Linked DNA regions of Ovis aries. The protein of the gene in region 1 purifies or fractionates together with the protein of each later gene. This does not show direct contact. Links are inferred from orthologs where the notes say so. Each region holds a gene or a part of one and is shown on either strand. Other genes may lie near its edges. The genes, in order: XPC and CETN3.

What was found.
Region 2: the proteins of XPC (region 1) and CETN3 purify together in Homo sapiens (affinity purification with mass spectrometry; 4 studies listed by BioGRID and IntAct, counting the BioPlex papers as one, with this or other methods). This does not show direct contact. The link is inferred for Ovis aries from reciprocal best matches to the Homo sapiens genes XPC and CETN3.

What each region holds. Positions count from the first base shown.
Region 1 is NC_056072.1:57,967,029-57,970,851, reverse strand, and holds part of XPC (DNA repair protein complementing XP-C cells), read right to left. Parts: exon of another isoform or gene 483-3,823; coding exon 287-482; exon of another isoform or gene 1-286. UniProt on the Homo sapiens protein: Involved in global genome nucleotide excision repair (GG-NER) by acting as damage sensing and DNA-binding factor component of the XPC complex. Has only a low DNA repair activity by itself which is stimulated by RAD23B and RAD23A.
Region 2 is NC_056058.1:87,589,025-87,592,847, reverse strand, and holds part of CETN3 (centrin-3), read left to right. Parts: exon of another isoform or gene 1-474; intron 475-2,727; coding exon 2,728-2,919; intron 2,920-3,823. UniProt on the Homo sapiens protein: Plays a fundamental role in microtubule-organizing center structure and function. As a component of the TREX-2 complex, involved in the export of mRNAs to the cytoplasm through the nuclear pores.

The DNA.
Region 1 (3,823 bases):
GCCATTGCCTTCTCCAATGCATGAAAGTGAAAAGTGAAAGTGTAGCCGCTCAGTCGTGTCCGACTCTTCGTGACCCCATGGACTGCAGCCTATCAGGCTCCTCCGTCCATGGGATTTTCCAGGCAAGAGTTCTGGAGTGGGATGCCATCGCCTTCTCCACGAGCGCTACCTAGATCTGTTTAAAGATCCCACTTTTTCCACAGACCCCAGAGACGAGCAACAGGAGCAGGTTTCCTTAGTCACACTTCCCTGATGGACCCGGTCAAGACGTTTTCCGCCGTCTCACCTGAAATCTTCCCCTTCGCTGAGGGCTTCATCCTTTACAGCCTGGGGCTCTTCAGATTTCACTGAAACCTTGGCCGCCTTCCTTGTCACTGGACCGTCTGCTGCGCTCCCAGCATCACCGCAGCCTCTCTTCCTCTTTCCTCGGGCAACTTTTGTGGGAGGGCTCTTCTTTCGTGGTTTCTCATCTTTGACGACATCTGGATGACCACACGGAACACGAGAGGAGGGACACAGGAAAAGCGGAGACATTGCTGGTTCGTGGACAGGGTCACAGAAGTCCTCCCTGGTGACCTCTCTCCAGACGCCCATCAACATCCCATGTTTGGTCAAAAACCAGCGTTCAGCCCCTTCCACCTCCAGCTGGTCTGCAGAATACACGCTTCCTTCATCAGTTACTCTGTTCTACCTCCTAAGGCTATAGAGACACCAGCACACGACCCATAAAACCTAAACTGCAAACCTTAAATTTTACCTAATGTCCAGCAAGGAAAACGCATCAATCCATTAACTAACACCTTGCTTGTTACTACCTGCTGAGACTAATTATTTTAGGGATAATCCACCCCTACTAAGTGAAAAGCTTCAAGTTTATAAACATGTCTGAGCGTGAAGGACAAGGAAGCCTGGCATGCTGCAGTCCATGGGGTCGCAAAGGGTCAGACACGACTGAGCAACTGAACAACAATGATTTCCCCTAATCTAAGCTTCTGCTGTCTTTTGAAACCAAACGCTGCTCAAAACACACACTTTATGAAGTCTGTCCAGTCTAACCCAAATGCCACTCATACGAGCTTATGTGTACGCTAAGTCGTTTCAGTCGTGTCCAACTCTGTGCAACCCCATGGACTATAGCTTGCCAGGCTCCTCTGTCCATGGCATTTTCCAAGCAAGAATACTGGAGTGCGTCGCCATGCCCTCCTCCAGGGGAGCTTCCTGAACCAGAAGTTGGGCCTGTATCTCTTATGTCTCCTGCACTGGCAGGCGGGCTCTTTACCACCAGCGCCCCCTGGGAAGCCCCTCAGCAAGCTTCAGGTTGGAATAAGTTAGCAGTAAGTGAAAAACAACTTTATTTTAATAACTAACCATTATTAATAATTAATAAATAAAATAATAAAATTTTGTTAAAAGGAAATATAAAAAACCCATACACTGTTCATTTTAGCTCCACTAGGGTATCTAAAAGCATGGTCTCTTAACACATAACTATATTACATACGTTATACTATATTAATACAACAGGGGAAAATATTTTTCTATTATAAATATAGCCAGGCAAATTATCTTAAATCTGAAATAAATCATCTTTTTTCCTCTGCACAACTCTGCTTCAGGTAATATTGCAAAACAAAAATACTCTAACCTTTTTTGAGGTCCCAGAAGGAGCTGAGGTAGTAACCTAAAGTTTCAAATTAATTAATTCCTTTCATTTATGGTTTGAACTGCTGACACCCTGCATATGTATTTTTAGTCCCCAAGAATACAATTTTGCATGGAAGAGAGAGACTCTTCCTTTTGAGCTAAAAAAAACAACAACAACACCTAAACTTTAATAGATTTCACCTTTTAGCAGCGTTTGTTTCAATGCTGGCTAAAATCACTGACTGGGTTCTGTTTCTTCAGATTTCTTATTTCAAGGCCAAAAGTTTATTTACGACCTGACAATTTGGTAGGGCATACTGAAAACCAGGATTTCTAGATCCTACAATGGTTTTTAGCCCTCTGTTAATAAGATGCTCAATGCTCGACCAGTCTAAACATGCAGGTGGGCAGTTGCTTCAGAAGTCCTGTCTCTTCCTCTCTAAACTTGCTTGGTTGGAAGGCAGAGGTGAGCATTTCTGTGCTTTGCATAGAGAGGTAGAGAAGTTAACAGTGAGAACAAGGGAAGCGAACTGTGACTCTAAAAAACGTTTATAGTATCATTATTCAAAGTATCCAAAATTTTAAAAGTCTGAATGCCCATCCAGTAAATGGACATTGATTAAATCGTTAATTATGGTGCAGCCACACAATGATATATGATGTGGTCATCTCCTAAGACAAAGGAAGAAGACGTGATAAAACGCTGAGAATGCAAAGCTGTCGGCATAGTTTCTACTACACAAAAAGACACAGACTAGAAGGAAACATAGTATTATTTGGTGGTGGTGGTTTCTGGATGGGAGACGTATGGTAACATTTTTCCCCTAAATTCTTTGTGTGTGCCCCAGGGCATCAAAGAGGCTATCATCTAGATATTCCAAGCAAACGGAAGCTAAAATATAGCTCAGACAGCAATAATCGTATCAGGCAAGATAGACCATAAAACAAAGTCTATAGTAATAGACAAAGACATTATATAATGATAAAGGGGTCAATACAAGAAAATGATGACACTGATAAACATATATGCATCTAACACAGGAGCATCGGAATATATGCAGAAAATATTAACAAAAACAAGGGGAGAAGCTGACAGTAATACAATAATTGTAGGCGACTTCAACACCCGAGTTACGTCAATGGACAGATTATTCAGAAAGAAAAATCAATAAGGTAACGGTGACCTTAAATGACACACTGGACCACATGAACTTAATAGATAACTTCAAGACACTGTGTCCAAAACAGCAGAATACACAGTCTTTTCAAGTGCGCATGGAACATTTTCCAGGATCGATCGACCGCATGCCAGCCACAAAACGAGTCCCAACAAATTCGAGACTGAAAAGGTATTAAGTGTCTTTTCCAACGACAGCAGCAGGAAACCAGAAATCAATTATTTTTCAGGGGAAAAACGAAACACAGACACTCGGAGACTAAACAGGACCCTACAAAAAGCAGACAGCCAGTGACGGCTCGCGCCGCCGCAGAGAGAACCAGGAAATACCGCAGGACAGCGAAGATGAAAACCCAACTTTACAAAATCCACAGGGCACAGCGAAAGCAGTTTCAAGAGGGAAGCTTAGAGCAATACAGGCCCACCTCCAGAAACAGGAAAAGTCTCAAAAAACCTGAGCTACCATCTAAAGGAATCAGAAGTATCAGTCATAACAAAGAAATCTTGCCATTCGCAACAACAGGGAGGATATTATGCTTGGTGAAATAGAGAAAGACAAATACCATGTTTCCCCTTATACACAGAATCTAAAAGACAAATGAACAAATTAAAATAAAAACAGACAGAGAACAAACCAGTGGCCACCAGTGGGGAAAGGGGTAGGGGGACAGGCAAGACAGGGGAAGAGGATGAAGAGGCACCAAGTCAGTAAGTTACAGGGATGTAACGTACAGCACGGGGATGTGGTCAATACCGTGGAATAGCTTTATATGGAGTATTAAGTGTGAAAGTGCTAGTCGCTCACTCATGTCCGATTTGTGACCCCGTGGACTGTAGCCTGTCAGGCTTTTCTGTCCATAGAATTCTCCAGGCAAGAATACTAGAGTGGGTGGCCATTGCCTTCTCCAGGGGATCTTCCTGACCCAGGGACTGAACCCAGGTCTCCTGCATTGCGGGCAGACTCTTTACTGTTTGAGCCACCAGGGGAGCCCTTATCTGGAA
Region 2 (3,823 bases), on another chromosome or scaffold:
GTGGAGCGGGTGGGCTTTTTAATGTGCTTGCTCACCCACCAGTCATTTTCAGACTTGAGGTACCAAACAGAGATGAGTCATGCCCTTCTGCCCATGGCATATCTGTTCTCACTTGATGAAAGTGGCTGCAGGGTTAATTCTCAGGATCACCAGGGTTAGCTTCCAGACACCATCTTTTTGACTCCAGACGTAGGCATTGCGGTGGGCCCTGCAAGTGATGGTGCGGTCACCCTTGGGAGCCCAGTCGGGACCTGTGATGTGTCCGTTGTGCTCCTTGAGTTCCTGAACTTTCACCCACTGGCCCCCATTCTTCTTATAGATGTGGACTTTGTGATTATTTGGGCTAAGGGCGCTTTGGGAATGATCCGTGTTCTAGGCATGAAAGGTGATTGGCTATAGTAAAAACTGATGCAGGGGCATTGTTCTTAGTGTTTTTGAAGCATAGAAAGCTGGGATCGGGGCCATCTGGATGGGCTCGGAGTGTTGAATTTGCAGTCTCTGGTTGCATGCTCATAGACTCTGGTGGGCACGGGTGGAGGACCCTTAAGTGATTTTCACAATGTATAAGATCTAACTGTTTTGAGTGAGTACATTTCTGATAGTATAATTAAGTCATTTGAAAATAGAGTTACATGGACAGAAATTTGTGAAATAGATTCAACCCACCTTTACTGCCTTTCTCTTGATTTATTTTCATTGAAAAAAATATATGTTATAATTCTACTTTGTAGAGCAAGAATAGAACATGAAGGCATGGAGGAGAGTCATCATAAAGTTAAAATGCGTTAGCTGTCCAGAATGATGGGTATTTATACTTCCAAAGGAAAGTTGCATTCTAAGGCAAAGTATTGATAAAAGATTCTATAGACACACAAGTCTGAAGTAACTAACACAATTAAAGCACCATTGGGATAGGAATTTATACATCTTGGAACCCCATCTGTTCCCCAGATCACCCTGTTGCTTCTTTAAGTACATTAATATTTTCAGCAAGCTGCTTTTTTGGTTCACCTGTCATGTAAATTATTTAATTGGTGAAGAAAATTTCTTAACACTTTTTTTTTTCCTTGTCCTGCTTTTTTGTTGGGACTAAATTCAAAATAAGTTGAGTATGAGCCATAAAGTTAAGTGTGGTATTTTATTTTGGTGTTATGGCTGTATATATGCCAACTCCTTTTTAACTGAATATTTATGAGCTTTGATGATTTGCATACTTATAGTAATATACTTCAATTAGTTACTTGGAAGACTTTTGTATAAAATTAATGGATAAAAGAAAATTATTGTAGAGGAAAAACTCAAAAAGAGAAAATTATTGAATATATGTGTAGATGATTTAACATTAGCTTGAATAGGTGCTTATTCTAAAGCTCATTCAACCACATATGATGCGGACAGCAGCACAGCAACAGTTTGTGGGGGACTTGAATTGTATTTTTCTTTTGAGTGCATTAAATATTCCAGTGTTTTCTGATTATAAGCCTTTGCAAATTTTTAATGATTCTGTAAACCTCACAGGATGGGATTATTTTTAATGGCACAATGAAAATCATAAATGCCTCTTGTAGTGGTAGATTAACATGTAGAATTACTTCAAAGATTTTTACTTTGATATTTTCAGAATTTTATCTAGTAACTTAAAAAATTTTATACCACAGATTTAAAAAGTTTTGTTATTGTGGCTATTGATTAAAGACTGCGGTTTTATGAAAATATTAAGCTTACTCTTATTATATATTGTTAAATTTAGTATATTAAATAATTGTTACTAGTGAGGCCTGAAATTGCTCACATTTAATTTTAATTTAGCTGTCTGATAGTTACTATCTTGCTGAATAGAACGGATTTGACTTTAGAGAGATCTCCTTTCCAGACTTTTTAATTTTTACTATAATCAGATTCTATCCTTTTAGTAACTTCTTCTGAGAAACCAAGGGGTTCTTCTAAGTTATGAAGATACCAGCAGAATTTTCATATACTTTCTGAGACTGTGTCTTTATCAATGGTGACAGTTAATTTTGTAAATTTGTTAGGGAAATTTGTTTTTAAGTTGTGTTAAATTTGGAGGACAATCAGTATTACTATTAAGTTTAGCCAGCAAACAATTTTTAGTTGGTTTTGATTGTTTTGTTGGTATGTCATCTCTACAAATAGGTTACAAACTCCTAGACTTGTATGCTTGATGTCAGTGGAACCTAGCACAGTTCTTAATAGTAGACCTTAAATAAACATGGTATGAATATAGTTTTTAAAAATTTGCTTCTGTGTAATATAATTATGCTTACTCTTAAAATAGGATATTGTTGTTTGGTCACAAGTTGTGGTTGACTCTTTTGCGACCCCACGGACTGTAACGCACCAGGCTCCTTTGTCTACGAGATTTCCCAGGCAAGAATGCTGTAGTGGGTTGCCATTTCCTTCACTGGGGATCTTCCTGGCCCAGGCTTTAAACCCATGTCTTCTGGTTGTCAGGCAGATCCTTTACCATTGAGCCCCCTGGGAAGCCATATAATAGGATAAATTGTTGATAATGTGAAGGTTAAATTCTAAAATATGAATTTGACTTTTCTGATTTTAGGTTTATCTCAGGGATTTTGTACTTTGGTTTGGCATTTTTATTGCCAAACTAATTTCACAGTTTTAATTCTCATCTAATAATTAGTTGATTTTACAAATGAATGCCTTTGTGACTGTGAAGATTTACTTTTAATCTCTTTTTAACTATAGTGACAGACTGGATATTGGAAAGAGATCCACATGAAGAAATATTAAAGGCATTTAAACTATTTGATGATGATGATTCTGGTAAAATAAGCTTGAGGAATTTGCGACGTGTTGCCAGAGAATTGGGTGAAAACATGAGTGATGAAGAACTTCGGGCTATGATAGAAGAATTTGATAAAGATGGTGATGGAGAAAGTAAGTTTTGAGTAAAACATATATTTCAAATATTCCTACTTGTACACATGAGTAATTTTTTTAAAACCAAATGATTTTCAAGACCCGTTGCAAACTGTCCCTTTATTTAGTGTAAATGTTGTTCATCCTGTAATGGGCTTTTTGCATAAGTATCACACATACTTGGCTTGGAATGAAGCAGACCTTTAAAACCAACTGTACAGGTTATACTATGAGGTTCCACACTTCAAGAAAGTATTTTTCTTTGAGGGTGAAGTATCTCCAAATTTCAGCCACTCAGTAAATTTCATCCTTTAATGCTTTCTTCCTCAACCTTTATGCATGTCTAAGTTTGAGTCTACCCTTCAAATATTTTGAAGTTTTATTTCTTTATTTACTGCTGCTGTCCTAATTCAGGCCCTAATTTCTTTGTTGGAATTTTATAATATAATAGCTTCGTTCATTATCTCCTTGAATGCCTGCTAGTACACAGTTCTTTGTGCTGACTGGTGCTGCCCAATAAGAAGCTGATATTTTCTCTGCTCTCGCTGACTTAGAGTCTCTTGTAGCCTCCTAATTGCCTCCTCTATGCCTCTAAACTTCTGTTTTCATCCTAATATCATTCTTTTCCTAAAATGCAAGTTTGGTGATGTCATTTTCATATTCAGACACTTATGATTCTTTAGTGCCTATGGAATAAATTCCAAAGCCTTTTATGAGATCTGTCCTACAACAGCCATCTCGTTTTATTTCCCACTGTATTCTTCCTCTTTTTACTCTAACCCTCACCACTTATATAGTATGCATACTTTGACAGAATATACTCCAACCTGTCCTTTTATGCTATGCCTTTCATCATGCTGTTCTTTAATCTAATTGCCAGGTTCTGTCTGCTAAAATGTTAGTCGTTATCTCAGGTTCATCT